4 linked regions of the Arabidopsis thaliana genome follow. The protein of the gene in region 3 interacts with the protein of the main gene of each other region in a pairwise test. Each region holds a gene or a part of one and is shown on either strand. Other genes may lie near its edges.

Evidence for each region.
Region 1: the proteins of PYL5 (region 3) and HAI3 interact in binary tests that used the Arabidopsis thaliana proteins (3 or more experiments, as listed by UniProt).
Region 2: the proteins of PYL5 (region 3) and HAB2 interact in binary tests that used the Arabidopsis thaliana proteins (3 or more experiments, as listed by UniProt).
Region 4: the proteins of PYL5 (region 3) and AT5G51910 interact in binary tests that used the Arabidopsis thaliana proteins (3 or more experiments, as listed by UniProt).

What each region holds. Positions count from the first base shown.
Region 1 is NC_003071.7:12,605,462-12,613,140, reverse strand, and holds HAI3 (highly ABA-induced PP2C protein 3), read right to left. Parts: upstream 4,467-7,679; 5' UTR 4,287-4,466; coding exon 3,918-4,286; intron 3,830-3,917; coding exon 3,512-3,829; intron 3,419-3,511; coding exon 3,017-3,418; 3' UTR 2,791-3,016; downstream 1-2,790. Other genes in the region: SMO2-2 (sterol 4-alpha-methyl-oxidase 2-2), read left to right, coding at 342-371, 1,001-1,138, 1,329-1,474, 1,641-1,760, 1,856-2,068, 2,128-2,244, 2,329-2,383; AT2G29370 (NAD(P)-binding Rossmann-fold superfamily protein), read right to left, coding at 5,778-5,960, 6,051-6,157, 6,236-6,452, 6,559-6,766, 6,991-7,082.
Region 2 is NC_003070.9:6,030,989-6,040,315, reverse strand, and holds HAB2 (homology to ABI2), read right to left. Parts: upstream 6,047-9,327; 5' UTR 5,400-6,046; coding exon 4,656-5,399; intron 4,458-4,655; coding exon 4,107-4,457; intron 4,012-4,106; coding exon 3,906-4,011; intron 3,712-3,905; coding exon 3,377-3,711; 3' UTR 2,918-3,376; downstream 1-2,917. Other genes in the region: MYA1 (myosin 1), read right to left, coding at 356-481, 861-863; HLL (Ribosomal protein L14p/L23e family protein), read left to right, coding at 1,742-1,775, 2,020-2,111, 2,217-2,681; AT1G17545 (Protein phosphatase 2C family protein), read right to left, coding at 6,408-6,728, 6,807-7,009, 7,192-7,207; AT1G17540 (kinase with adenine nucleotide alpha hydrolases-like domain-containing protein), read left to right, coding at 7,675-7,831, 7,904-8,001, 8,101-8,222, 8,312-8,563, 8,654-8,837, 8,919-8,975, 9,080-9,157, 9,255-9,327. UniProt on the Arabidopsis thaliana protein: Key component and repressor of the abscisic acid (ABA) signaling pathway that regulates numerous ABA responses, such as stomatal closure, seed germination and inhibition of vegetative growth.
Region 3 is NC_003076.8:1,605,590-1,613,414, reverse strand, and holds PYL5 (Polyketide cyclase/dehydrase and lipid transport superfamily protein), read right to left. Parts: upstream 4,428-7,825; 5' UTR 4,042-4,427; coding exon 3,430-4,041; 3' UTR 2,888-3,429; downstream 1-2,887. Other genes in the region: AT5G05450 (P-loop containing nucleoside triphosphate hydrolases superfamily protein), read right to left, coding at 1-50, 376-624, 755-991, 1,069-1,338; AT5G05430 (RNA-binding protein), read left to right, coding at 7,145-7,162, 7,310-7,341, 7,418-7,681, 7,763-7,825. UniProt on the Arabidopsis thaliana protein: Receptor for abscisic acid (ABA) required for ABA-mediated responses such as stomatal closure and germination inhibition.
Region 4 is NC_003076.8:21,092,429-21,099,888, forward strand, and holds AT5G51910 (TCP family transcription factor), read right to left. Parts: upstream 3,464-7,460; 5' UTR 3,381-3,463; intron 3,275-3,380; exon of another isoform or gene 3,180-3,274; 5' UTR 3,158-3,179; coding exon 2,276-3,157; 3' UTR 2,138-2,275; downstream 1-2,137. Other genes in the region: AT5G51900 (Cytochrome P450 family protein), read right to left, coding at 1,253-1,519, 1,565-2,026; AT5G51920 (Pyridoxal phosphate (PLP)-dependent transferases superfamily protein), read right to left, coding at 4,774-6,486.

The sequences.
Region 1 (7,679 bases), on a different chromosome or scaffold from region 3:
GTACTCTCTATTTATTTAGGAGAACCCAAATTCAAAACTTTTTTTAGTCTCTTCACCACCATAAAGCCATAATCACTACGTATTGTTCACTTCAAAAATTTAACATGGGGTGCCAATTGTCACATGTAAAACTATATGGTCCTAAAATTAAAAATATCAAGTAATTAAGGATAATAATGAAACATGTGTGTGCACGTGTGATGGAGAGAAACAAACAAATCAGCTTTAGAATTCAGATTCCTTCTTGTCACACAGTTTTCGTTTCTCTTTCTCTTTCTCTCACACTCTCTGCCTATCTCCGCCGCGGAGATCCATCGTGTTTTCTACTTCTGTTGGTATCCATGGATTCTCTCGTTGAATCCGGTTGGAAGGTACTTCGTATTCCTCTATCTCGTCGCGTTCCTTTGTATGCGATTCCTACGTTTTTTTTTTTTGTTTTGTTTTCAGAGATTGAATCGTGTTTTTTGTTTCTCGGTCTCTGGCGACTTGAGTGTACTGCATTTATGATACAAGTGTAGGTACGGGATTAGTATCTGCCGTGTTAGGTTGATTTTGTGTTTGTCGTCTGTGGTCCATCGTATTGTATTGTTGTGGTCCCTTTATGTTGAGATTGAATTGGTTTCGTGTCGATTGCGTTGTGGTTTCAGATCTGGATTTGACTGTTCTAGTTACAGATTATTACTGATTTCGTATGTGATCTCTGTTTGTGCTTGTATTTTTTTTTGGAATTTGAGTGGGATTTATGTATTGTTGTTGGAGCTTGGACTAGCTTAGAGGATCTGTGATTGTGATACGTGTTGATAAGCAATAGGTTTTCCTTGAACGTCTTCTTAACTTGCTTTTCTGCGTGAGTGACTGGATGGATGGTGTCAATGATATACAATTGCCTTCAGTTTTCGTGGAATTGAACAAATTTTATCTCCCTTTGGCAATCATGTTTAGCTCTTTAGTTTGACAGTTCTAGCTGTGACACTGACCCTTCTTTGTGGCGATGATGCAGTACCTTGTTACGCATTTCAGTGACTTTCAACTGGCGTGTATTGGGAGTTTTATACTTCATGAAAGCGTGTTTTTCTTGTCTGGACTCCCTTACATTTTCCTAGAAAGGACTGGTTTTCTGAGCAACTACAAAATTCAGGTTTGTCTTTTCTTCTCATGATTCAGTGGTCTTCTAACTAATAGCTTTGTGTGTCTGTTCAAATATAAACTGAATGGAAAGATATCACCAAGTTGTCAGTGTTCTCATTTCCCCAATGGTAATGTCAAAGTGATAACTGGTTTAGCTTGTCTTCTAGATTTATCAAGTACTCTTGTTTGGTCTTTTGCAGACCAAAAGTAATACTCCTGAAGCCCAGGGAAAATGCATTGCTCGACTATTACTTTACCATTGCTGCGTAAACTTGCCCCTCATGATGGCGTCGTATCCTGTATTCAGATTCATGGGCATGGAAAGCAGTTTTCCTCTGCCGTCCTGGTATTATCAGGTTCTTTAGTGCTGAAAGCTTTTTTTGCCTTTGGGTTCTGATGTTAAACTCTTCCAATGGGCAATATATATAAAATGTCAGTGTTGAGCTGCATGAGAAGAACCTGCATTATGTTTGATCTGGTTTATGAAACTATATCTGGTGACGCTCTTGCAGGAAAGTGGTGTCTGCCCAGATCTTATTCTACTTCATCATTGAGGATTTTGTATTCTATTGGGGTCACAGGATCTTGCATACTAAATGGCTCTACAAGAACGTGCACAGTGTGCATCATGAGTAAGCTATCAGTACTCACCATCTTTTTTGTGCTTGACAATGTTAGTTCACTCATGGTCCTCAATAAACAATCTTATGGTATTACTTATATACAGGTACGCGACACCGTTTGGTTTGACATCAGAATATGCTCATCCCGCTGAAATTCTGTTCCTTGGTTTTGCTACCATTGTTGGTCCGGCTCTCACCGGGCCTCACCTGATCACCCTTTGGTTATGGATGATGCTCAGAGTTATTGAGACAGTTGAGGCACATTGTGGTTATCATTTCCCATGGAGCCCCTCGAATTTTCTTCCTCTATACGGCGGGTAAGATAAGACTTCTAACCTGTGATTGCCTTGAAAGAGCAACACCTTAAACCTAACAGATCTTTAATATTAATGTGGGAATCATTTGCTTACAGTGCTGACTTCCATGACTACCATCATCGATTACTCTACACAAAGTCTGGCAACTACTCATCAACGTTTGTTTACATGGACTGGTAAATTATTGAACTCTGTTTCTTACTTTAACAGAAGTCATAACTATAATAAACATGTAAATATGTTTATCTATGTTACTTCAGGATCTTTGGCACCGATAAAGGTTACAGAAAACTTAAGGCCCTAAAAGAAACCTGACAACAAACAAACGTGAAATTCGATTCCCGAGAGAGGTCTTGTTCTCAAAAAACCTTCTTTCTTTTGTTTTGTCTCTACCATTTCCTCAACTTTAGTCATAAGAACATCATTATTTGCTACAATTTGGGTTGTACAATCAAAGCTGCTAGTCTGAAGTCGATTCGATGTTGAAATTTATACGTGACCTCGTTTCTATTGGACTTGTTGTTACTACTGCTTACTGTTTTTCTTATTCTTTAGATACTGCTAATACTCATAATTGCATTTAGAACCTATGATCTACTCTCATGTCTTTGCCTAGCGGCAGAGACTAAGTACCTCTTAAAGTATCTTAATGCCTAAAAGTAAAAGGTATAGTATAGTCTGACAATCTTTTTTAAAGCAAAATGCTTTTACATGTCGACCTTCTTAATTTGATTTGATTTAAGATTATAAGCATACACGAAACAGGATTAGGGTTGACAAGAATAATTCTTATCATTTCTATTAATTAACCCTTTTTCGGGGTTTCCATAAAATCGGGTTAATTTTGTATACAACCAACGTATTCCAAGAATAACCAAAAAGCAAAACTGATATAGAAAGTTAAAGCAAAATTGTCTTCCTCTTCGACTAGTGTCCACTTACGTGTCCTTATCTTCTGAGATCAATCACAACGACACTGACGTTGTCACTACTGTTCCTTGCCAACGCCAGCTTTGTTAGCAATACTGACGCTTCCGTACAAGCCTTGTCCGAAATCGCCGGATCCTCATTATCTTGTCTTCTCCCACCACCACGGAGACACATACGCGCTACAGAGCAGGCGGTCTCGTTTGACACAACATCCCATAAACCATCACTAGCTAGTATGAGGCAGTCATCGTCTCTCCTGTCCGTTATGGTTACCTCCGGCTCGCAACTCACGTAAGGTTTCAAATAGTTGTCTCCTATTGCTCGTGACATTGCTAAGACTCCGAGAACTCTTGGACAGTCCCAATATATGACTCGTCCACCAGCTCCTTCGATTCGATCCAATTCGTCTGGCCGATCAGGCTGTGTTTCATTACAAAGAACACAATCTCCAAGTTAATCCACAAATCCAATCATTGCTTAAATGAAACTGAACATGTTTTGAACGGAACTGACCTTGTGATCGGTTGATAAAGGGACTGGTTTCCCATTGCGGCAGAGAACTGCTCTGGAATCGCCACAATTGGCGACAACGATCTTATCTGGCGTAATGACTGAGACAACAGCGGTTGATCCGACGGAATCACAAGCCGGTGTTTGTAGATCACACTTGCAATTTGCAGTCACGACGGAATCACCCCACGATACAACTTCCTTATCCATGCGTGTGAAGCTACGCTCCATCGTCGTTTTCCATTCTTCTTCATCTTCCATATCTGAACTTAGTTCTTCTTGCACCAGCTTGTGAAGCCTCTCTCTACACCTTGCTGCAACCTAAGGAAAAAAAAAAGATTTCGTATCAGCTAAAACTGAAAACATAGAATTTCGGAAAACGTAAGAATGCATGGTAACGGAGTCGTACGTGGGAACAACCATGGCCGTCATACACACCAAAGTAGTGTTGAGGAAATTCCGAATTCTTCGGAGAAGAAAATGAAGGATGAATTGCCACCGCATCTTCCATCTCTCTTCTTCTACCGCACACCGAAGAAACACCGTATCTTGGACTGGATACGTCGACATTTTGGTCAGAGAAATCCTCCCGAGAGCTTCGAGGAATTGAAGAGTATCTCGTAGCTAAAGCCTCCTGTTTACTACGCTTACAATTCTTCTCCCAATCTTCATGCATCACCGTTTGGAATCTCGGCCTCCGCCGTGAATGTGCCGGCGTTGATTCATAAACCGACGACGGACATGCGTCGGTCACTACTTCGTAACATATCTCGGCCATATCCGGGGAAAAAAACCTTAAACTTTGATGTCTTCAAATGGATTTTGCTCTGTATTTCTGATCAAGAAGAACAAAACTCTTTCTTAGATGTTTCAAGAAATGTTTTCTTTTTTGATGAACTCTTTCAAGAACTGGTGATTCCTGTTTTGGTTGCTTCACTGGTTAATAAAAATGCTCGAAAACCATTCAATTTGAGAAATAATGTCATTACACGTTACTTGCATTCTCTATTTTATACACAAAACCTGCCTCTTCAGAAACAATTTTAAATTCTTTCTATAAAAAAAGTAATCCACGTAAGGCGTCAGTATCGAGTGCGAGATTCGTGGTCCAATCAAATTGAGACGGCACGGATGACGGATCATAGGAAGTTTCCTTTCGCGCCACGATGCTTTTCCCCGCAAGGTAGGTTTTGTTTTCTGTATTTAAATAACTAGAGGAATTTCATTACGTTAGTTTTCACATTTGATTACATGAATAACCTAAGTTTAGGTATAAATCAGTGTTTACTTTCAAAACCTAACAAGTTTAGTGCTAATAATTTATGTTTGTCCCTAGACAGTAAACACGTTAACAAAGAAAACCTTAATAAACTTATATCTGAATTTTTATTATTATTGTCTTGAGAGTCCAGAGAATCATCGGAAATATAATATGTATGACTTATATGACAGTAATCAGCTATGTTGTGATGGCAGTCTGAACAATTATTAAACAAATTTATCATCGACAAAGCAATTTGAATTCTCATCGTCCAAATATCCAAGAAATGCGATAAAGTTTTATATACCCAAGAAGATTAAATAACAAGTTACATATATAGTTTGTTTTTGAATTTAGAAAATTTAAGGAATATTTTGTTTACATGTCTATTATTATGAGTCCTTGAATATGATATATGAGTATGTTTCCAACGACATGTCTTTTAGTTTAGTTGATATATAGAAGAAACTTGTTTTGTGCTATGCGTGAGAATAATAATAATAATAAATTTATATCAAATATATATATATATATATATATAATTATGAAGATAATTCTTTCTTTGTTTTGTGTTATGCGTGAGAATAATAATAATAAATTTATATAAATTAAAAAAAATTATGAACATAATCTTTACTCCTTTAGCAAAAGTAATCTTTTTAGGCTTTTAGCCATAACCCCCTAAAGATAGGGATACTAGAGTTGAAAATCGTACGGTCATCATTACATGACTATATAATCATATATCATAAGTAGAATATATACAATAATTATTTTATATATCAAAAGTCACAATACGATTGGAAACGAACAAACATCAAATGTGAACACAAGTAACTTCTTATCCGATAAGATAAAAGATTGAGTTCTTCGTCCAAACATTAGAAGGCATGAACGGAGTGAGCTCCCTCAACATAAGTTACATATAAAACTTGTATGAATTAATATGCAGTGAAACCACTAATTAATCACATAAATTTAAGCATGAATATATGCATATATACGTGTTTAAGGCAAAGAGAAGCCGTTAATAGTGAAACCTCCATCAACGCAAATGGTTTGACCTGTTATATAAGAAGCTGCGGGAAGACATAGAAATGCAACAAGCGATGATACTTCATTTGCCTCTCCAACACGTCTCAATGGTGTCACACTCTCCACCTTTTCTTTTACATCTTTATCACCGAGGAACTGAAACATTTTCACATAAACTTCGTAAGAAATAGTTAAACCATTTTTTCATACTATAAATGAAATGTATTTTCTTATTCATTGTCTTACATCTTTAGTTGACGGAGTTGTAATGAACCATGGACAAACAGAATTAGCCCTTATATTATCACTCGCCCACTCGCATGCTAAATTTCTCGCCAGCTGATTCATGGCTCCTAGAATGCGTATACATTTATTTAAGTCGCGATAGAAGCAAAGAATCATAAATTGTTCGAGTATGCGTATAATTATACCTTTGGTTGCTCCATAGATTGATGTATTACCCAAATTTACAACTCCAGCCACGGAAGACATGAGCACAATGTTCCCTGAACCAGAGGCTTTCAATAAAGGATGCGCGAGTTGCGAGAAATGGAAAGTTGACTCCAGATTTGTAGCTATTATAAATGAGAACTCTTCTGCTGTACACTCAGTCGTCGGCTTTAGTACACCTATTCCCACATTGGGTACCTATACAAACGAAGCAAACAAAATTCAACATGATTTTGGTCATTGTCGATCCAAGCTCATAGACGAGGAGGAGGAGAAGCTTATATATATACACACACACACTTACGAGGATGCTGAGTTTTCCTTGGAAGAGAGAGGAAACAGTTTCCATGAGTTTCTCTCGCTGGTCACGAGAAGAAACATCGCAAACAGAAGTGGTGACTTGTAACCCTTTTGCTTGCCATTCACGTAAGCTTTCTTGAAGCTGAGTTTCGTCTCTGGCACATGTGTGAACTCTTGCTCCCAACATGGCTAGTTCCTCCACCACAGCTTTTCTATTTATACATCAATATGAATTTATACATATCATTAAGCCTTTGATCTTTTCAGGGGTTGATTTGATTAAACATAGAAATACTATCAAAAGATCCACATAAGTCTATGATTGAGCCGTATTAACAAATAAAACGAAAGTCTATACATGATTGAAATCAGAGCTCAGTTTCGGTACTGAAATTATAGGGAAGTAAGTAATTAAGGTAGAAAAATTGGGACTGACCCGAGGCCTTTAGATCCACCGGTAACAAGAGCAGTCATGCCTTCAAGACTCCATTTAGGTTTGTCTCTCAAGCTTTCCCCTCTCTTTGCCATTTTTGGTTATCAGCCACAGAGCAGATATCTATTCATGGAGATTCTTATTTGTAACTCGGTATAGGAAAAATTATAGACCGTTTATACATATTATAATATCACACGTAACCATGCAAGTGTGTTGTAAATGGGGACAAAATATCGGATTCGACATCATTATTGGATGGTTGGTTGTACCAGTCCAGTCGGTTGAGTATTTAAAACTTCATAATTTTATTAGAACTAAATACAAAGTTCATATTTGAGAGTGGTAAAAAATGAATGTACAATATAAAAAACGAAAAGGATAAATAATAATTAGACATATGCTTAAACCTTCCAATTTACAGGTTTTTTTAGATGTCAACTGTCATTATAAATTCCAAAGTATCTGTGTTTGGATATATTTTGAAGTCATATACAAACTATTTAAATAATAAAAAAGGCACACTTAGCCTTCGTTTCTTCATTTTCTATACAATCATTTTCATATTGAGATACAACAAATAAAAATGTGAGCACCTGACTTTGATATATGGGACAACAAACAAACATCTAGCGTCAAAACGACCAAATTACTTATGGTTTGTGAGGAAGCCTTAGAAGGCATGTATGGAG
Region 2 (9,327 bases), on a different chromosome or scaffold from region 3:
TTTTATGCACTCCATATTTCTGAGTATAAACTTGCCTTAAGACATTCAGTAAATACCAAAAACGTTCTTTGAAGGTATTTTTCTCTATTTATTATGTTACTTGGTTTGATCAAAACACTAAAAGCACAATAACCTACATCTACCTTGAATGCAGAAGGTAAAAACCTGCCGATCTAGGGATATAACGGGACTATGACAGTATCCCATTCCAAGATAAAACGTAACATTAATCGACATCTAAATTTATCAACGGACTTATTCCTACTCTTTTTTAGCCTAAACCCAAAGGTCGAGGCCACGTACAAGCTCATTGATTGAAGTAAAATAATAAAGATGTAACCTTATAGAAACTTACGGTTTTCCCCTTCTTGGTTTTGACATGAACGTTTATACCATCTATTCGAGTAACTTCTCCATCTATCCATGCCAAATGTGGATCTTCAACCCACACATGTGAACCCACAATTATGACTGGAGCAGCCTGCAACCATTGCATTTCATTTAACAACATCAAAAACATACATTGCCTCTAAAAGAGTTTACAGGTTCAAGGGGCACATAACATCTATTTTACAGCTTTAGGCAAAATTATATAAACGAGATTTTAATTCAGGCAAAGAGCAAGCTTCTAGAACTGAGCTAGACATAGTCAAACCAAAACCTTTCAGAAGTAAAAACAACCATAGATCAAGAATTAGCGTCTCCATACAGGAAACAAAAAGGGGTAAAGCAAGCAAACGCAACAACAACATTAACGAAACAAACAAGCAAGGTTTTCAGTTTTCAAATAAACAGTTGAGCAAAGAGACCGAGATATCTCTTAGAAACATAAAATGGTATAGAGATATATTTGAATTTACCATTTGAATAGCAAGAGGGGAAAGACCCCAGATGAGGAGATTAGAGCAGAATCAATCAACTTGTGGAGAGACTTGAGAGTGATAAAGTCAATGACTTTTCACCGGAAATCTCAGGAAAGGAAAGCCCTTTTTTCTTCTCCGGTGAGAATTTGGTAATCTCTCTCTCTTATCGCGGTGGAGAGTTTCAAAAAAAAAGGCGTTTCGTTGGAGCTCCGCTTGGAGAAGCCATTTGGGGGGTTTTATTTTGTCTCTTGTCTGATACAGATTACTAGTGGGTCCCAGTGCTAGCTTCAAAATGGACGGCATCGGTGAATTGTTCCACTTGATCAACCTCTTCTCAGCCGTTTAACTTCTTGATTTAGGAATTTTTCATAACATTAAGAAACTTTGGATTTTGTCTTTGTAAATGCATGAACAATCAACAAAAGTAAAAAGTTCGTAGCAAAAAAAAAGAAGAAAGAAATGTTTGTTATTAGGGCATCACCATTGTTTATTTTTGTTAATTAAGAATTTCAGATTTTGTGATAAACAAATGTTATAGTACATGTGGAAAAAATGTTATGGCCCCTGGTTTTAAAATGTAGGAAAATAAGGTAAATACGAAAAAAAAGGAAAAACGTAGGCGGCAGGATTCGAACCTGCGCGGGCAAAGCCCACATGATTTCTAGTCATGCCCGATAACCACTCCGGCACGCCTACTTTTGACAACGTCACCACTTTTTTACTATATAATTTAATCCATGAGTAAAATCATTACAAGCCCAAATGATCGCTGCGACAGCGAGTGTGTGACGTTAAACCCTAAATCTGGTGTCTTTGTGCAATCGCAAGATTCATTCACTCTCTGCGACACTAAAGATCGAAACTTTTGAATTGCAGAAATGGCGACAGCTTTAGCTTCCAAGCTCTCCAAAGGTACATTTTCATCTCTTAATATTATTATATTCGATAAAGTTTGGTTCTTTAAAAATTAGATTTTTTGCAACATTGATTTAGTATAAGTTTCGAAATGAGCTTTGAGTTTTTGGGTTTGTGATATGTCATGGACTTTGCTTTGGTTCATGAAATGCAGACTCAAGATTAAAACTTTTTTGTTCTTGTTGTGAATGTCACTAATTGTTGGTGATGTCGTTATATGATTCATCGACAATATGAGTAGGACGTTCATTGCTTGGAGGTCTTTGCAATGCTTTCTCTGGTTTGATGAATTCCTCCTCCAATGGAATGATGAATGGAAGCATCCTCTCTCAGGTCAAGCCTCTTTTCGCAAATATACGTCCTTGATGAAACTTTCTTCATATGCATTCGTGGGGTATAACCTGTGAATTGTGTGTCCTGATGATTTCCAATTCACAGCAACAACATAGGACATTCATTCAAATGGGGACGATTCTCAAATGCGTGGATAACTCGTGTGCTAAAGAGGTGATGTGCATTCAATCCCTGAGAGGTAAGAAAGGAGCAAGACTTGGCGATATCATTGTTGGTTCAGTGAAAGAAGCTAACCCAATTGTTCAAAAAAAAGTAAAGAAAGACGCTATCCCAAAAGGTAAAGTGAAGAAAGGGATGGTCGTGTACGGTGTGGTTGTGCGTGCTGCGATGCCTAAAGGACGTGCTGATGGAAGCCAAGTCAAGTTTGATGACAATGCCATTGTAGTTGTTGGCATTAAGGAAAAGAAAGGGCAGAATAATTCACATGGTTCCAAGAGGAAAATGGAGTACAACCAACCGACTGGTACCCGAGTGTTTGGTCCTGTCCCGCACGAGATGCGCCTCAGGAAACAGCTCAAGATCCTTTCTTTGGCTCAGCACATTGTTTGAGACAATACACCACACTAAAACATCAGTTATGATCTCCTTTATGTGACTCTCTTTGATCCATTCATCACTTGGGTTTCTGTTGATTCTTCAACTATCCAACTCATTATTTTTGTTAATTCTAATGAATTATGAAACCTTAACGTACCAATTATGATCTCTTATTTAGGTTTCTTTTAATTGTTAAACTCTACTCTCTTAGTAAAAAAAGCAGGGGAAATAGCTTTAAACAACCATCCTTCTCCAAACCCTTCACTTAGTTTTCATGTTTGATACAGCATCCCTCATTAAACACTTTGGAATCAATATTACCTGTTGTATAACAATAACAATAGAAAAGACAATAATAACTCTTTCACAACAAGTATTTATATATAATAGATTACAGAAAAGTATTAAGGTGAATGTGACATAAATTTCAGTTACAATTCCTTAAGCCACATCTCCAATATTACAACAACATATCCACCTACAAGACTCCAAAGTAAAAACATTTCTTCTCTATTCTTCTTATACATAACAAACATACACATTCAAGTCCATGAGAAAAAGGAATGGACTTCAGCTATGCATCAAGGTCTTAATTCTTCTTCCCCCCAACATTTCACTTCTTATTTTTATGTAAACTTGTGGAAATTTTTTCAATAAATAAGAAATAATAAAATTATAATAGTGTAAGAGCTCGAGCATACACTGTTTCAAGATCTGGTCTTGAACTTTCTTTGAGCTTTCAAGTCGATCACTATGATTGAGATATTGTCTTTGCTTCCCATTTGAATAGCGAGTTTGGAGAGATATTCAGCCGCAGCTTGACACGCTTGGTCTTCTCCTACACCTCTCTCAGCTAAAGGCAATGCTCCATTCTTCTTGTGCCAAGCCAAGATCCGCCTCCTCGCAAAATCGCAAGCTTCTTGGTTACTCATTACGTCCCAAAGTCCATCACTGGCCAATATTAGACACTCGTCTTCTCTAGCTCGTGGCATAAACGTCACTTCGGGATCTGGTATTACAAATGGCTCCAGATATTGATCACCTGAAAACGATGCAGATTGAAACCCACTTTCAGGAGATCTCATGATTTTGCAGAGACTGTAACAGGTAGTAATGATCCTCATCTCTAAATAAGGTTACTGAATGTTTAATTTATCGATAATTTTGACCTATAAAACTCTCTTCATATTTCTGTCACTAGGCAAGATGGAAGACATAAGTGCAAGTTTGACCTACCGATGGACCTGGACATGGCAAGAACGCCAGAAACACGAGCGCCTTGCCATTGTATAACTTTTCCTCCAGCTTTCTCTATTCGTGCATACTCATCCTCTCTATCTGGCTGCAGAGAAAGGGTAAGAAATTTCATGAATTAGAAATAAGAAACTTTCTCAGATTGTGTTAAATTATTTTAGAGGGAAAGAGAAGATTTTTTACTTTGTGATCAACTGATAAAGGCATGGAGTCTTTGCCTCGGAGTAAAACTGCTCTTGAGTCACCACAGTTTGAGACTATTATATGCGATGAACAAACCAAAGCAACCACAGCAGTCGATCCAACGGTTTCAGGGGAAACAGCTTCAAGAACCATCCTATCAGAAGAACCAACAACAGGTCTGTTGATTTTCCCTTTAACCTCATCATCGACTTTTAGGTAACAATCTACAAAGACTTTCTCCCACTGGACCTGCCTACCCTCGCCAGTGTTCCTCCTACACAATTCCTCTTTAATCCGTTCGATTTCTTCAGCCAAAGCAGAGTGGATTCTATCATGGCAATAGTCAGCAACCTGCAAGAATCCGATTTCCACCAAAGCCGTCATATATTACATAACAACCTGCAAAGAATCCCGTTTCCAGCAAACCCTTTATCATATATACATACAACCTACGTCAACAAAACATAAACTCATGTATCTTCCGGGTTCATAGTTGAATTAACTTTCTACTGCTAAAATCAGTATAAGGATTTACGAACTACAGCATACCTGAGCGCCTCCGTGGCCATCATATACACCAAAGAAGTGACTAGTGAGATATGGGAGACTTGGACTCATCCCTTCATGATCCCCCATAAGCATTTTGATGGGTATTTTGAGAAAATGAGGTAAAGCTCTAACAGCATCCTCCATTTCAGATCTTCCACCGCAAATTGAAATCGTGCCCCAAAGAGGTATACACTCTAGTTCATAAACACTCCTGCTTCCTCTTGCTACATTAGGATTTTCTTCAGGTAACCTAATGACTACCTCAGAAGTTGCCACCTCCATATTCACATCGTGATTCAGACTCGCAATAAGGACTTCTGCAGTGGGAACCTGTTCTATGGTTGTCTCGTTTAGGATAATGGCCGTAGCAAGAACTCGCCCGTTATCAGTTTCAACTGTATCTGGCAAACTTATCTCAGACCTAGCGTCCACAACTATTAAACCTTCGCTAATAATAGTCGCATCAGATACTAATGGCTCATCTTCTTCTGATTCCTGGACAGTTACACTAAAATCAGAAGACAAACTTCTCACTTCAGATAAAGTCTTCTCTTCTGAAACACTTCCCATAATACAATCCACCACTCCATTACTATATCTTTGTCTTTTCTGATTACACAACATGTCAGCTGCATCAGTAACATTCTCCAGCTCGGAGATATCGAAAGTAGATGAGATTCCAGAGTCACACATCGTATTAGCTAAACCCAAAGTAAGTGCAACTGCAGGTGAAATCTCTTCCATGAGCTGGTATGCAGCTTCCAAACCTCAACTGGAGCAAAACGATTCAAAAAACTTCATTTTCTTCTCTAAGCTATAGTCTGATGAACTCTACATCCAATTCAGCTTCCCACCGAGACCCACCAGCCGTTTATTCTCACCAACTAATCCAGAAAGCAGTGAATGACGAAGAAGTATGTACCTCCGCTGAACAGATCTGACGGATCTATGAAGACGGATCCTTTGTGAATTCGTGGGATTTTGATCACTCTAACGATCCTCTATAACTCTTGATCTTCATCGAATCAGAAAGACAATAAACTCACACAAACCCTAATTTAGAAACCCACAAAAAAAAAATCAGCCTTTTTCAGATAGATCACACAAGAGAGCAGAGAGAAGACACAAAGGTGAAAACTTTATCCAAAACAAAAACAAAAGTCAGGTGAAATTGAAGAGAAGGGACAACAAACAGAGAGAATTGATATCAATCAGCGAAATGAATCACAAAACACACAGAAAAACCTAAAAAAGTCGAAACCTTTATCTCTCTTATCTTTCCAAAACGAAACGAAACATGGGTTCTCCTGGATCTAATGAGGTTTTTACCCAAAAAATAAAATTAGAAAAATTATAAGCACTCCACGGAATCCCAAGTTTCTTTATGTGACAACGACCTTCATTATTAACACGTTGCTCCAATCAATTATAAAACTAATTTATTAATCTATTCAATAATGGCAACATAGATGACGCGTGTCCTTCCCTCTTAAAGGTCAAGTCTTCTGTTTATTCTTCTAATTTAGTTTTTTGATCCAAGATTGAAAGTATGTTCATGACATATGTTCATGCATCTCATGACACATGTAGTGTTATCATAACGTGGTTAAAAAATAGACAACGAAAGACTTTTCTCGGAGACCAAAGTTTGAAATGGGCCTACATTAAGGCCCAGTCAGCGTCACTTATATGGGCTCTAGCGTCCACTTGTTTACATTAAGGTAAGAAACTTCATTAGCTCTGTCTCAGCTTTTATACTTTCTGATCAACTGATAAAGGCATGGATTCTTTGCCGCGGAGTAAAACCACTCTTGAACCACCACAGTTGGAAACTATGATATGTGATGAGCAAACCAAAGCAACAACAGCAGTTGATCCGACGGTCTCAGGGGAAACAGCCTGAAGAACCATCCTATCATCAGAAGAAACAGAACCAGAAACAGGTCTGCTTCTTCTGTGGCCATCATAAATTCCGAAGAAGTGACTAGTGAGACATGTGAGCGTTGGACTTATTATCCCTTCATGATCACACATAAGCATTCTGATAGGTAGTTTGAAAAATGAGATAAAGCTCTAACAGCATCCTCCATTTCACCGCAGATTGACACAGTGCCCCAAAGAGGTATACACTCTAGCTCATAGACACTCCACCTCCTTCCTCTTTGCTACATTATCATGATGACTTGTAGTAATAAGGACTTGTGTTGTGGGAACCGCATCATCATTCAGGATAATGGACGTAGCAAGAACTCGCCCATGATCCTCTATTCCACTTCCATTGTAGCGTCCACAACTATTATTAAATTCCACACTCGCTTGTACACGGCTGTTTGTTATACGAAAATCATTATTAGCTATATATTATATACTCCATATGGTTTCTTTGAAATATCAAAGGTCCTCCTCATCAGCGACATGAATCACACACAAAAGACAAAGTCCTTCAAACTCAAACCCTTTTGCCCTTTCAAAACCAAACAGGTTACCCCAAGATATTTAACACGTTCGTCGAAACAATTATAAAACTAATTTCAACCTTTGGATTTCCTCATGGTCTTCTTCTTTCTTCTAAAAGATCAAGACTGCCTATAATTCCAAATTTATCTAGTTTACATATATATCAATATAAGATGCCATTACACAAATCTAAAAATAAAAAATCCTCTTTTTGTCTACAAGATATGATATGGAATATCCTTTAAAGATAAGTCGTCAACTAAAATTAAAAAAATCCTCTTTTTGTCTGCCTCTCTGTTCGTTATGACTGTTTAGATTGTTGGAGAAAAGAAAAACCTTCTAATTTTAGCAAAGTGCCAAAACCATTATAAGTTTAAATTTTCTCAACAAACAAAACAGCTCTCCTCTCCTCTTCTCTTCTTAATTCCTTGTTATCATTTTCATTATCATTCGGTCTCCTTATTTCCTCCTTCTGAGGGTAATTGAAAGACCGTACCACAATGTCTTTCTAGTTTCTCCAGAAGCAAAAGTTTCCAGCAATCATCTCGAGGGCTGAGAAACAATGGCTGCAAGAAGACTCAAAGGAAAAGACAGCAAAGCAGTTACCGCCATAGCCATTGATAAAGATAAGAACAGCCAACACGCTTTGAAATGGGCTGTTGAGAATATCATCATCGATTCTCCAAACTGTATCCTTCTCCATGTTCAAACCAAACTGAGTACGTAATGGCATCATCATCATCATCATCATTGTTATCAATCCATCAATCTAATGAAAACTCTTGAAACAGGATTTGGGGCAGGAGAAAACACAGAAGCACCACATGACAACCAAGAAGAGGCGCATCAGTTCTTCCTTCCCTTTAGAGGATTCTGTGCTCGGAAAGGGGTCAGATATCAACCTCTCTTTCTCCTTACAACAATCACATATATATATATATATACACATAGCTCTCACCGACCTCATTAATTATATATTTTCTCTCAGATTATAGCAACGGAGGTTCTTCTTCACGATATTGACATCTCGAGTGCAATTGTTGACTACATCACCAACAATTCCATTTCAAATATAGTCATTGGAGCCTCTGCTCGAAATTCTTTCCTCAAGTCTCTTTCTTTCTCTCATATAACCTAAACTGTAATCTTAATCTGAATGCTAAATCCTATAACTCTCTGTGATTTATGGTCTTAATCAGGAAGTTTAAGAGCGTAGATGTGCCAACGACTCTGCTTAAAACAACACCAGATACATGTGCTGTCTTCATTGTGTCTAAAGGGAAGCTCTTAACAAGCAGATCAGCGAGTCGGCCTCAGACACCTCAAGGTCCTCACACGCCTCAAGGTCCTCAGACACCTCAAGCTCCTCAACACCCTCCTCATCCTTCAAAACATCCCTCAATGATGTCTGATCCTGGCCCAACAAGTTCCACTTCCAGTGAATCCGGAAGGTAATTAATGAACTCAAATTTTATCCGGTTGTCTTGTGAATGAATGCCTTTTTTGCTTCATAGTAGTCATTGGGTTTGCCAATCTTGCAGGTCATCTCCTGCATTGAACGGAGAATTATCTCCACCTACACCTCATTACAAGCCATCTTTGTATAGGAGTTCTATGTCAGAGCTTAGTAATGAATTTCCCAGCGATCACAGTGCTGAATCAAATGCTAGCTTCTACAGCATCCTAGGACGATCCACATATGGAGGAAGCTCACACTCTTCCATGGTTAGTATTCCCATCACGTTTCAAATCGATATTCTTACCACCTATTTGCCTGGCGTTGACATTTTTTTTTCGAATCTGTAGTCTGAGATAACTGATGGAGAGGAAAGCTTATCTGGGGGCAATATCACTGAACACCAGGTAAAATTAATGTTTCAGAAAAGTAGATATAGTGTTTCGGTTATGCTGAGTGTCAGATGCATGATTCTGAGATGTTTGTGTTCTTTGTGCATGACTATGATCAGAATCAAAATCTTGAAGCAGAAGTGAGAAGATTGAGATTCGAATTGCAGCAGTTTAATGCTTCCATGTCCAGAGAAAGTGTAAGATACTTACTTCCATGAGCACAACCGAGAATGTTTCCTTGAACAGGTCCCAAAGATGAGTGACTAATATCAGACATTGAATGAATGCTTGTAGGCCCCTCATCTTCTAGGACCTAGAGCTACCGCCGAAACTGAAAGGCTGGAGGAAGCAAAGGCAGCAAGAGAGA
Region 3 (7,825 bases):
AGGAGATCAACTAGTTGTGATGATTTTTTATCTGCTTCGCATTCCATATACTGTAGAGACAAGGAGAAATAAACCGCTAAGAAACGCATCGGTAGGACATGTAAAGATAGAACATCGGTTTCTACTAAAAAGAAGTATATACATATGCAACACATATGATCAATAGGTATTTTCAATACAACAAACTTGCTACCAAGAGAAGGGAATACAATAGAGCTACGAAGAGAATCGTATAACTACTGGATACTTACAAATTAGAAGGAAATCCTTCGTAAATCAGGTCACAGTAATGCTAAATGATAACGAAGGATACAACAGGAAAACTAACTACTCTGAAACATATTATTACATAATTATATATTGAACTTATGCTACCTCAAGATGAAGACCAGAAGGGGTTTTCGAGTTTGTCAATTGCTGGGATGATTCCGACTTCGACTTAGCTCGAACTTCAACTCTCACAGGGTTCCTAAGCCCAGCCTTGGCGAGCTCTTCAACGCCCTCTGTTTGTGTAGCTGAAAAGAGGCCAGTCCTCCTCTGCTTTGGCAAGCGTGAGATAATGTAATTCACCTGCCTTTGGAACCCCATCTCCAAAAGCCTATCTGCCTCATCTAGAATAAGAATCTACATACGCAAAACGATTCAGTTTAAGTAAAAAAACTAAACTTTTAAGTTGTTTAGACAACATAACCACACCAAGCTATAGATTCAACAACATCTATCTTAAAACAAATCCTTGATTGAAGAAAAGTACCTCAAGATTTCGAAAATCCAGAATCTCCATTCGTTCCATAATATCAGAAAGTCTTCCAGGTGTACCAATCAAGACATTGCATCCTTCTTCTTCAATAATCTTCATGTCAGCTTTCACCTCTCGGCCTCCAACAAGCAACACAGAGTTCACATTTGCCAAAGTCGAAACAAATGGTTGTGCGACATTATATATCTGCGTTGATAGCTCTCTCGTTGGCGATATAATCACCCCCATGACCTGTAATTTAATTTCAAAGATAAGCTCACAATCGAAACAAAAATCCTAATTTCCAGATTAGTTGGCAATTATCTTACCTGGTGAGGCTTCGGAGGGAATGAGGTGGATCGACGGAGGATTTCTACGAGGGGAACGACGAAAGCTAGGGTTTTTCCAGAACCAGTGGCAGCGTCGACGGCAACATCCTTGTAACTACAGAGTAAAGGGATCGTCGCGGCTTGAACCGGAGTGCAGAACTCGAAATCAGACTGATTAAGAGCCTCAATGATATCTCCGGAGAGTGGAGGTTCGAGGTCGGAGAAACGCGTCTCCGTTAGAGCTTTGTTTATGTTCGCCGATGAATCCATGACGGCCGCCGCTGCCTCTCGTTGCTCACTTCCCGCTTTAACCTTGCAGTAACCTTGCAATGACTGAAAACAAAACGCAGCGTTTTGATCAATTCGGTTCGGTATTATGTTGGAATTCACAACCCAGGCTTAAATACTGAACCGGTAACCAATTGATGCCCGGATTTCTCCCAGAAAAGCTTTACTAATATGAAAGAAATGTATAATTTCGGCCCATTTGTTTTGAGCTAATTCTTGGGCCTCGCCACTTATAAATATTATTACCGTTCTTAATCAGACATTTGAAGTATCTCAGCACTAATTTGGGACAACAAAGGATAAAATGTCACGAATAATTTTGTAAGATGTGGTACGATAGTTTACGTATCTTCATTTTTGTGTATTATAAACAAAAATTACTTTTAAAATTTTAATCATTTGTGTATATATGGATTTGAATATGGTGGTGACACGATGATAGTGATAGAATAGTACAAATATGTTTATCTCAATTTATTTGTTCGAAAAGAAAGAAAAAGAGGATGTTTTACCAAACACAAAATAAAGTGATACAATAGATTATAAATATAAAGAATTTTGTAGCAATAAATACTATGATATTTAATACTTATCTTTTGATTCGTACCAAAAAAAAATAAAAATTGTTATCTTTTGAGTTTTGATATTGGTTATACATTTGTTTTTCTTTACATCCAATATTATATAGTAAGATAATTTTAATAACACTAATCAACATTTAATCAATAATATAGTAGTGTGCTTGATGATATATAATACTCTTTTGACAAGATTTTGATAATTTGTTATTGTCCTTGTTTGTATTATTATTAAAAGGAAATTGGATAAAAAGAAATATTAACTCTTTAAGACCGGCATAAGGGTTCGTTGTATCATATCCCACTAGGGGCAGAAAAAACTAGCAAGTTGCAACGCGTTTCCAGCTAAATTTTAATTGCATGTCCTTTTAGACTTTCTTAAATACAAATTTTGAATCGAACGAATTATAATAAACCCACCAGAACAAAAAAAAAAAAAAAAAAAACAGTAGACCAAAAACTTATATTTGAATTAAATATAACCCACTAGGTTGGTTGGTTATAATTTATTAACAAAACAAACGGGAATAAAAAATGATAATCTCCACTTGACCAGACTAGTAGCCAATGAAAGACTAGTTGGTAATAGTTTAAGCACGTCTACTTTTGCTTTAGGTCTAATATATATGTTTTATGTAAATGCACATGCTAATCAGGTTTAAATTCCATAACCTGGTTTATAATTTCCCTCTTAGTTAACACGCAGTTCCATCTACATATAGTACCTTCTAATAAATTGTTACGTCCCGAGAATATTATGTGTAATAGACAGATAATTCGAATATATATACTCAATACTTAAAGGTAATTTGATGTTCCCTTAATATGATCCATGATGACGATAAATCTTAAAGTTAAACGAATTGGAGTTTTTTTATTTCTGAACTTTTATCTCTCTGGTAATATTATAGACAGTGGAACAGTTATTGGCTTCATTCTAATTGATTCTTAGATCAGAATATCGGCTTTGTATTATATTTTCTATTTAGAACATTTGGACACAAGGATCAACCAACAAAAAACAAACTTATAGTAATGTTACATACTATGAAGAAATAAATTAATAAGTCTATCATTAACAATACCGATGCATCAAATATTCATTTACAAACCACAAAAGAAAAAAACGGTTAAGAGTAACATTTAAAAGAGTACAAGAAATTAAACAATGTCACAAAGAATGATACCATGTACAAAACAACAAATGGATTAATTCATTTAACAGATTCACCTTAAAATGTTTTATGTACCAGTACTAACACCCTCCAAATCCAAAGTTTTGTGAATCCCCCAACAGTACTTCGAAATTTCCAACATAAATCTCCCAAAGAAATCCCCATTAAATTACAATTCTTTCTAAGCCGATATATCTATTTAAAAAGAAAGAAAAGGTACTCGAAATTTTCTTCCTTGTAAAGAAGATCGAACATCTAAAAGAAATAGAACAACAAAAAAAATTAGATACATAATTGCAATTTATATAAGAAAGATGAGATTATTGCCGGTTGGTACTTCGAGCCAGAGACTGAAGGTTGCACCGGACGATAGTATCAACGAAGCTTAGAGTTTCCTCCTCCGTGTTTCCCGGCGGCACATCAACGATGTAAGACTCCACCACCACGGTACCTTCGTCGTCCGACGCGTGTAGTGTCGTCACCGATCGGTAGTTCTTGAGCCTGTGGTCCCCACCAACGACACTAAAGCTTATCACGTGACGCTCCTCGTCCAAGATCTCGAGCCTCTCGGTGCTCGAGACCGCCGGGAGTCCAGAGACCACCATGACCTCCCGGAGATCGCCGACGTGTAGTCCATCGCCTTGGACGATACGGCACTGTCTGATGAAGTTCTTGTAAACCTTCGGATTATCGAAACGCCGCACAAGAGCCCACACGGACTCAGGCGGCGCGTGGATCATCTGCACCACCGAGGAGCAACACTGGTCCGGACCAACGTCGTGTGTGTGGTGCATCGCAACGTGTTCAGGGACATGCATACCGCGCGTGAGACACACTCTCTTGATCGGACCATCGGTCTGATCGTGAGGCTGCAGCGTGTGGAAACCGTTAGTGGCGTCTGAGCCGTGTTGGAGTTGCACCGGTGACCTCATGATCTCTCCTCTATCTCTTAATTTGTTTTTGGGAGAATTTATGGAATCGTATATATTGCGATCGAGAGAGAAATAAGTTTGATGAGAAAAGAAGAGAGCTAGCTTTTTGATCTTGTTCGCTGTCGGTTGTCAAGTTGGTTTTGTTTGAGAAATTTAAAAAGTATGATCATCTTTTATTTTATAACAATAACAATAAGATATGAACATTGTGTGTTTTTAAAAATATATATTTGAAGATAGATGGATAGAGATAGCTGGGGATGTGAAGGCTTTGTGTTTGTATGTATATAGAAACAGTTGTGTATATAGACGCATTTGTATCATATAGATGTGTGTGACCATGTATGATACATTGTACCATCTTATGCCCCCATGATTTCTTTCCTCAGACGCCTCCTTCATTATCTTGAATATATATCACCAAAATTAATTGTATTCTATAGATCCCTCATTTCCATCTTGATAAATTTTATATTATAGAATCTACAAGGTTTATCTACATATGAATACTGTTAATAAATTGTTCATAGAAAAAACTGAAATTTCAGAATTAGTTTTATCTTTTTTTTTTAAATAAATCATTAGTTATAGTAAAATATGTTGCTGTTATTGTTAAAATTTACTTATTATATGCACATTCTGATCTTAATCTACTAAAGTGATAGTTATGAGAAATAACATGTACAATTTTTGAATATCACACGACTGTAACGCGCATGATTGATTGATTGTGGTAAATTTTAAGATAGACATGGTCATCATGGCGAAGTAAAAACTACATACATGCATGAGCACACGTGCATGCACAGATGTTGATGGGTTTGTCATATATGTGTAAATGGCGTATGTAAATGTGGTGTATGTATGGAGAGAGAAAGTCGGAGGACGGTGAGAGACCTTATCAAAGAGCTTACGCCGGACGAAGCAAGTGGATGTTGCAACTTGCAATCTTCTTTGGACTTGTTTAGGTGGAAGATTATCCTTTCCTTTTTTTCTCTATTTTCTTTTGTTCTTGTTGCCCATTTTTATATTATATTCTCATCATATAGTACAAAGGTTGTTGCATCGCGACTTTGTAATTTTTTCAATAAATAATAATATTTTGCGACATGGGTATGGTACTCTACATCAAGTTTCATGTACACTCGAATTGTATAGGCATGCAAACGTGCAATTTTACTATTTTTTTCTAAACCAACTATGATAATTGTCGTAATTAATTATAGAGGAATGCATTCAGTAATCCCACTACATTTTTTGAAAAGACTGATCTACAAGAAAATAATATTTATACGGTATAAATTATACCCTGTCAATGAGATAAAACGTAAAAAAAAAATGTAATCGTAATTTGTAAGACTAGTTAATAAATCTTGTGGGTTTTTAGAAATATTCGACCATCACACCAAAAAAAACAAGAGACCACATGTGGGTTTTTAGATTTTGTTTAACTTTCTAATTAAAAATTCAAGGCCCAATCGTTTGTTTTTTTAAAAATATTATACGAAATCATGCCCTGTAAGAATAACGAGAGAGCTTCACGGAACTCATAAGACCATCTCCAATGGTGAGAGCCTCCTAATGGGATCTCACCATTTTTTAAGTATAAATCTTTTGAATTTGTAAGATGAGAGCTTCTGATTTTTTTGAAAGATTTTTCATAGTCCAATGGTAAGTCTCTTTTAAAAGAGTTGTCTGGAAAAAAAATTATTCACAATAGAAAAAATGAGAATCATAGAAGAAATGTCTAACATGAGAGGCTGAGACCATATATTCACAATTCCTTACCATGTGAAAGCAAGTAAATAAAGAGGAATGAGATAGGAGAGAATAGAAATGCAGTAGACTTCTTGACAAATTAAAACATAAAGGTCAAGGTCAATAGAAATGTAAAACGATATGTGGAATGTTCCGTTGTATGGTTCCGGTCAGACATGATATTACTCTGTTGGAAACTTGCTGCAGGAAATAACAACATATCAGGTTCACCACTAAATGATTGCAAAGGAAGATCTATGGAAAGTACATAGATGCACCAACAATCTAAACACATGGCCATCACCTTTCCAAGCTTGTAAGCCCTCTTCACTTAGAAGAGCAGAACCAACGAAAATGAGTTCCTTCACTCAGAGTATAATCAACCAAAATGAGTTCCTTCACTCACTTTTGAGAAACTGCAAGTGGTACAGCCAGAAAAATACCCACCCAAATGGATTATCCCCTGAAGCTCTCTCTATTAGCCATCAAAAGTGATATTAGTCAGATACAAAACACCGTAAAGGAAACTATCGAAACACAAAGATTAGACTTTACCACAGGTGGGGTTGAAATATACTTCACTAGCTTCTTCACGTTAGATGGGTATCTCAAATCAAAGCCAAGATCCCTTAATCAACCTAAAATGTCCCTAAATTCTTTTCCAAATCACCACATTAAAATCACAATTAGAACCTCAAATTCCACAACCTTTTGCAAATTCTAGTTCAATAGCTACGAGAATCAAAGAGCAATCGAGAGTAAAAGTCCAAAACCCAGACAGACAAAATAAAAGAAAAACAATAGGACAATGAAAACCGAGAGACAATCGAATTTAAGAACAAACAAAAACAGTTCTATGAATCAAGACGAACGATAAGATTAGAAGAACAAACCTTGCAAAGTATGGAATCCATGAATCTCAGAGCCGATAAGCCTACCGAAATCAACGTCGGCCAGCTCGTTTCAGGTAAGTCCAATGATCCTCAAAGTCCCAGTGAAAAGATGATAGTAGAGAAAAAAAACGGAAAAAAAAAAGAAATACTGAAAAACAACGACACGTATGCGTCTCTCTTCAGCTCCAAAATCTCTCTTAAGAGAAACGATTCTCTCAGTATTAAACCTTTATGATTTATTTTTTTCCACAATAATTTAGAGAGACTGTCATGAGAGCTCCATTTTTCTCCCGTTGGAGATGCTCTAAGATACTTAATAGGAACCATATGGGGCTAACTAATTCAAGGCCCAAAATAAAAAGAAAAAAACAACTATAAATGCCCTCTTCAGACCTAAATTAAATCTGTTAAAAGGGTTATCGAGTCTCGCTCTTGTCGAACAAATTTTAGCCATGTTCTCATCCACCATGGTACTCTACTCTTATGGCTTTTCTGATTCACTCTGGTTTCTTATCTTTGTTTCTCAATTGATGGTTTCTTCACAAGTTTGTAAGAAAAGTACTTGCAAGTTAGTTAGCAGTGCAAGTGTTTCTGATTTGATCTCCTGTACTTTTTAGGGAGCGAAACGGAATAACATTCCAAAACTGAGGTAAATTGAGAATTTGGTATGTGTAAGGTGATGCATGTTTTCAGATGTCACGTTGATAGTATTATTATTATTGCAGTGACGTTGGGAGGATTAAGGTTACGGGATATGACACTGGTCTTCCGCTTGATGATCTCTACACGGCGTTGGCAGAACATTTCTCTTCATGTGGAGAGATCTGGGAGATTTATATTCCCTTAAAATTTGATGAGACTAATACGATTCTCAACAGGTTTTGGTGGCTTCTTCCTCCTCCATTTCTTTCCAACTCATCAGCTCAAGTTAACGTGGGAGGATGGAATGTCTCTGTTGAGGCTTATCCGTATCCGGCACACGCAAACGAGTAAACACTGATTTCTTAAAAAAATAAGATTTGTTGATAATAATAATGTTTATCATCTCCGGCAATATCCTATTACTGCAGTAAGGTTATTGTAAGAGTTGAAGGATATGATACTTCGCTTAGGAAGAGTCAAATCTCGAGGGC
Region 4 (7,460 bases), about 19 Mb from region 3:
CTTATATAAGGAGAGAAATGAGAGGCTAATATTCTAGAAAATGTGTATGTGTATAACATATGCTTTAAAGTTACTCAAATTATTTGGAACAAACATGTATCTATTCCAGTATTCAAATTCTTTTCTCCCTAAAATCGTACTTTGAGTCTAAGCATGTACTTTGGTGCAGAAGAGCTGGACAGAATCTGTTTTTGGTAACTATTAAAAGAATCTATTAAAACGTTTTTTAAAATTTTTATATAAAATAAATGGATGTTATTGTAATTAAAATTTTACTTAAATATTTTTAGATACATTAATGGAACCTGGAAGTAATTTTCTTTAACTCAATTAATTTATAAAAATTGTAATTTGTTTTTGTTTTGCCACTTGAAAAAAAATATTGTAAATAGAATCTTGATGGTGCCAAATAAGGAAAGAACACGAACGGTTTAGAATACGGATGGTGCCAAATAAACCACATGAAAAGGTGGTTGTTGTGGTTATTAACTTAAGCTTAAATATGAGTAATGAAGACTAAAAATCAGATGTAAAATGGTGGCATTTTGATGTGTTCGTGTGTGTGTGGATAGAGTAAGATTGAAAATGAATAAAGAAGAGAATTAAACGAGAAGATGGTCAAAAAAGGGTAACTACTGTTGAGTTATGCCTATCAGTGTTTGGTTTCAATTGCCTTGGCTTCGCAGTACGGTTGGTGAAGGATTTTGTGGTACTATTTTTTTTTCTGCATCTTTTTTGTTTTGCTTCTCACGTGTACGGCACTATTTGCATTGTAGTTACGGATATTATAATAAATTTTTTTGAAGAAAATTTTAAATTAGAAAATTACTTATTTTGTCAACAATGAGAAAAAAAAAAAAAAAAAAAACAAAAAAAACTGGATACATAATTTGGATACGGTTGAAAACAAAGAAACAAAATTTTTTGTTACGGTTTAGTTTACTTTAGTTTCGGTAGAGAAGAAATGGTTTCGTAATTCGTAGAAATAAAAATGGTACAGTATAATAATTGAAACAACATTTCTTTTTTGATTTCATCAGTTTACTAACTCATGAATTATCATTCTTGGATCGAGAGTTACATTCTTCTAAACTGTCATTGAAATCATTAAAAAACCATTACTATAATTTGTCTACAATAAAAACTAAACCTCAAGGTAGATCACACTTAAACTTGTCTCCTTATTAATACTCTTAATTAGGCTATGGTTTCGAAATAGAACTTAAAAAAGAACTTGATTATTTCACTAATATCAAGATGAACATCTCTTGTTAATCTTAACCTTAAAGCCATGCTTCATTTTAAGAATTAAACTAGTATCTGGCTCAAACTTCTGCCCGTTGGCAACCTTGATGTCATAGTTTTGTAATATCTCCACCGCCACAATCTTCATTTGAACCATAGCTCTTTGTTTACCATGGCATATTCTCGACCGGCATTGAATGCTAACTCTCCGGTCTCGGAAATCCATCTCTCTGGCTTGAATTCTAATGCATCTTCTCCCCATACAGCTCTCATCCTACCCACCACCCCATAAATAAAGACCAAAATCTTGTTTAAGTACATCTTTGTTTAAGTACTCCATTGGATCACAAGATGGTCTCTCTTGGCCACTACAACTTCTTGGTAGATTCATGTCAATCTCTTGGCGAATCTTGGTCACCACTAGAGGGTTTTCGGACAAAAACCAAAAGAACCAAGTGAGAGCAGAGGCAGTGGTATCTCTCCCAGCTAGAAGTAAAGCAAAGACATTGTCTCTTAAGAATTTATCATTGATAGGATCCAAGAGCTGGTACTGGGTTGTATCAAGCTTTATGTGAGATGTCAAAAGATTTGCATGACTATCTCTAATGAAATGATCATTATTATTCACTTGTGATCTTTTTACCTCTTCTCTCCTGGCTGATATGTATTTCCCACACACTCGATCAAAAATGGCACCAGCTTCTATCATCTTCTTCTCCATCCCAACTCCGATCCAGCTTTGTAGCTTCCACGAGAATCTAGGTTTAACGTGCCTATACATTATTCCTTCTACTATTGTGTCGAGAGCTTTAGCAGACTCAACCTCTGGCGTTTTAGCAGACTCATTTTTAATCTCATTTTGATTTATTTTTTAAAAATGATAGGATAGTTCCATTAATTACCAAAATGTTTGACAGAAACATAAAATTGAAATTGTGCTCCCAATTCTTTTACAAATCTTACTTAACCTAAATCAGGAATCAAACTTACTAAAAACTAAAAAGAAACTAGAACTAAGAGTTAAAATTCCTTAAGTCTCATGACATGAAGACGGAGATGAGTTCCCTGAGCCACCCAAAAACTGAAGCTCTCTCTTATCATAAATCTCCAACGAAAAATCCCTCAGCGGTTGCGTCGTTCCGCCACCGCTCGTTTCCATCTCCGCCTCAGCGTCTGAAGCGTTTGAGACATAACTAGACACCGGTCTAGCACCAACATTCAGAAACGGAGCTGTAGCAACGGTAGGAATAGCCCACATTTGGCCCATTTGATCCGGCCCACCAGTAACAAACGCAGTACCCATACCCATAGGCCAAAACGGCACAAACCCCTGTGTATTAACGTTCAGGATATTAACGCCGTAGTTTGACGCCGTTATCGGAGCTAACCCAGAAGTAACGGAGCTATGACAGCTGTCATTAACGTCTACGAAATCGCTCGTACAGTTTCTCTTCCTCCGTTTCTTTATTAGGTCACCGTCACCGTCACGGCCGCCGTCATTCAACACTGGAGAGCTCGTCGGGATTTTTAAAGTTCCGTTAACCGATACAGCAATAGCCGGTACAGTTCCGGTTCCGGTTGCTTCAATTATCGCCGGTTCAGCTCGTTCCAATAACCACCGTATCGTTTCTCCGTCGGATTTGTGACCAAGTTCACGGGTCAATTGAAAGACCCGAGCAGCGCAACCCGCCGGCATTCGGATCCTCCGACCTCGTCCTTCTACTTTCGTGTGACGGTCTTTAGAAGTCGGTCTCTTCGGAGCCGGTTTAGTCTTCACCGGCTGCAAATACCCGTCTTCTTGTTTCATGAGCATCATACCCGGTTTGGTTTTCGGATTCGGGTCAGACAGATGGGTCATGGTTGTTACTTGGTCAATCACTTGTATCGCGTTGCCTTCGTGATTCGATTCCATTTACCACAAAACCCTAGAATATCTGAATGTCACAAAACTTCAAAATCAGCCGAAGAATTGATTCAAGTAGGATATAGTCAAAATGTTTAGTTTTTACTGATTCTTTTGACGAAAAATGTTATCTGTTTGAATTTGACAGATTGAAAACTAAAGAACAGTGGATAAAAAAAAGTGAGGAAACCCTACAAAGGTAGAAAAATAAAATTAAAAAACCACAGCTAACCTTATCCTCTGCACGAAGAACCCTACAAAGATGGAAGAAGGGGCCCTCAAGATCATCGTTTTTATTTTTATATAGTCCCATTACAAATCAACGGTCTAGATCACATACTTCATATGGGCCTGTTTTAGCTAACTAATGGGCCTTGGCCTCGACCACATCACAAGAGTCATGTTGTGGAGCTAATTTTTTTTTTTTTATTGATAGTTGTACAGTTGAACCGGTTTCCATTTAAGAAGTGAACCAAACCAACCGAATTGGACAAAACCGAGCCATAACTAGGGCAATACAAAACTTAGCTATCTCAAAACTGAGTACTATTGACAAGTGCAGCTTATGTTCATTTCTGAGTATTATTGACAAGTAAAACCATTATTGTCTTGGTCTGAATTCTATCACCAAAACGACTAGTCTCTATTTTGATAGCATGTTACTGTTTTCGTAAAAACCAATTTGGTGTACCTAATCCCTTGTTGATTTTGTTGTATACAAGGTTGAAAAACTTTGGTCCCCACGAGAAGATTGGAACTGCGTAGTAAAACAAATAGTGCATGATTTACAACACCAAGATTCCAAACTACTCGGTAAATATTCTTGCAAGCTTAGGGTAAGCTTTATAAGAAATGATGGCAACAAAAAATGTCAATTACTAAGCATGACTCTCGAAGACTAGAGTATGAAGCTTGGAAATAAGGTTTCACCCGCCAAAAAGAAAACAATTCACTATTCATTATTTAATACTATATTTATAAGTTAAAATTATCAACATTGGTCATTTGTAATAATCTTTTGATGTTGACTACTAAAAAAATAGATTAAATAAAAGTATTATTCCATATTTTTATAATAGATTGATGTTTGGGATTTTTTCACATATTAAAAAAAAAACATTATCTAATCATTAACATTTTTTATATTAAATATTTTTAAGTTTAATTATGAGCTAATAAAATTAAAAGTTTAATTATTTTCAATCATTGCATTTTGAAATTTAGTATTTATCATACTAAAAATAAAAATAAAAATAACATCTAGAAAATCATTTGTGCAATAAATTTTATAAAATCAAAATTTTTAACAACCGAAGAAATATATAGCTGATATGGGTTTATTTTAGTTATTGGGCATTCATTTGCCCCGTTCATATCTACTTGACATCTAGGAATGAGCGAATTGTAAATAAATATATATGAGCTACCTTTTTTCGAAAGTTAATTATTTTTTTTTGAATCAGTAGCAAAATCAAAATTAGTGGGAGATAGAGGTGCTACTTGGACGCTAATGTTGACGCTGACTTTGTACTGAACAAAAATCAAAATTTTCATTGATACTTGAACCGGTTCTGATGTAAGAAGTGAACCAAAGCAAACCGAGCCAAAACTAGGCTATATGTTAACTAGACTACTTCACGGTTCTTATGTTCAAAAACATGAACTCCACATCTCACACTCTCTTTATCAACAAACTCTGAATCCAAAAACCGAGCAACGAATATCCAAAGTTTATAAACATCTTCGAAATTAGCAAGAAACCCTAACGCAGCAGTGAGAACAGAGATCCTTGGTTCGTCGACGTCTCTGTTTCTTTTCTTCTCAAAAACTCTATCTTTCACGCCTTCGTAGTCTTCTTGGAACAAGATGTTCTTCAAGAAACTTTTACCGAGTGAGATGTTGCTGCATTCGGCTAACTTCTGCACGATAAAAGGTTCGATTTTTTCGCCTTTATGGTTGAATAGATTGAACGCAACCGCTGGTCCTCGATTGAAATTAACTTTCGGACCGTAGATTTTAACTAGACGACTAGTTGTTGAATGTTTGAGTTTGTAGAGAGCACTTACCAACCAATTTATCAAGCATCTTGATCTGTTCCCTGTTGCTACCAACCCTAGTGAATCTACATGATCTAGGCCTTTGTATTCGACACTAGAGCTAAAGCTATATGTTTCTTCCGAATCTGTTTGTGTTCGGTTGATTTCCAACGCGTGTAATGAAATCGGATTGTCGGTAGGTACGAGGTTAATCATACCTGGACCAGTGGAAGATTCAAGAATCGATATGGTGGATTTCTTGACAAACAAGCAACCAAATCCGGAAGGGTTTTCTCCAAACACCTTGTAGAACGAACACACCATGAAATCGGGGTTATATATAGAAAGCCCGAAACTATCCATATCCTTAGGTCCCAAACCGCATGCATCGATCATTACATGCCACCCATTTTCTTGTGCCACACTCATCCATAGATACGGATACCTAGATCCTGTAACCCTAGAATGAAGCGGAAAGACGTAAATACCTTTCTTCTTCGTCTTGCTTCCGTTTTTCCCAGCAGTAACCAGTTTTCTCAGCTTGGACGAACAGAGTTTGAGTCTTGGCCATGAGAATTCAGCTGCAGCTACTTTGGCTCCACGTTTCTCAGAGACTCTGTTTATTTCACTCACCGCCTCACTCTCGTAGTCGTAAACCGTCAAGAGCTTCCGTTTTGAGTTAAACGGGTAAGACTCGGCGACGAGCCTGAAAGCAGAAGTTCTATTAGCGGTGAAGACCATTGAGTAGTCTTCCTCGGAGATTTTGAGAAACCCCATTATTCTTCTTTTCATTGAGTACTCAAACTCTGTTTCTTGACCTCCATCGTTGAGAAGCTTTTCCTTAAGGTTACCAATCTTGGGAGAAACACTGAAGAAGGGACTTTCAGACAAGGAAGAAGAGATCTGGTAAGTGGAAGGGTCGTAGTTGAGCAACTGAGAGTAAGAGTACAAACCAATTCCTATGTAATCAAGACATGTGTAATGTGATAAACCCAAGTGAAAGTAGTGGTCGGATCTAAGACGGTCGATCTTGTAAGTGTCGGAGTAGTTGGGGTAAGCTTGGATGAAATCGGAGAAAGATTCTTGATGAGAAGGAAGAGAATTTGGGTCGGTGAATTCGGTGTCCGGGAAGATGGTGGAGACGGTGGTTTGGGCGAAATTACGGCGGAGAGTAGCGGAAGTGACGGTGGGGGTTGAATGTGGTGGGTGTTCGGAGCTGGTGGTACCGTGAAATGGTGACGATGAGAAGCAGCCGTGAAGGCAGTTTGGTGGTGAAGAATCTCCGGGAAAGGGTTGGTGCATTTTTCTTCTTTTTTTGGGTGCAAAAGATTTATGACTCTTGTAATTGTCAAGTCATTAGCCTATCTTGTGTTAAATAAATACGCTAAAGTCTAAAGTTTATAAAAGTAGTGCACCTAAGACAAAAGCTTGTTTCTCTTTTCTTTTACACTAAAAAGAAAAGCAGAAGCAAATTAGGCGGGAATAATGATGATTATCAAGAAAATACTGAAAAGTGTTCACTTTGTCTTGTTTCCGCAAGTGTTTTTTTTTAGAACGCGTAGAGTTTAGTGGTCAAGAAAGTGTTTTCTTTTTCACTTTTGTTTCCTTAGCTATTTACAATGCTTACATGCTAAGATATACCACTATGCCCAATTGAGTAAACAAAAACAGCCAATAGTTATGTTATATACATATCTATTTTTTTTATGTTATATATCTTGTTAATGAAAAAAAGGCGGAATATAAAAGATTAAAAATATACCAATTCTTTTAGTTAGTACAATAAACTCTATTTTTTGTATCAAATAGCTATCAAAAGAACACTGATCTGTCTGTTGGTATATCGGCCTCGCTCCTCAAGCTTCTATTATTTAATTTACAACGTTATCAGAAAGTGTAAACATCACACTGCGTTATTTGTTTATTTTCTCATGTTATGTTATTACTATCGTAAAAAGGACAAAGTTCTCTGGTCGATCGTGGTGGTGGTTAAAGGAGCACGCGAACCGTTCGAGGACTATAATGATGAGCGGGAGTTACTTTTACAATTTAGAAATCTTGCTCTTTGAAGAATTTAGTTTGATTTCTCAAAATTAGTCATTAAGAAATATAGATCGCGACTAAACTAGGGAATCAAACGCATAGAAATATCGAATAATGGGAGAAATAAAAGAATTGGATAATCCTATTACACACACCAAAAAAGAATAATAGTTTTTTTTTTGGGGACTCTACTTAACCTATATTTGTTTGAATCAAAGCCAAGCTAATTATAG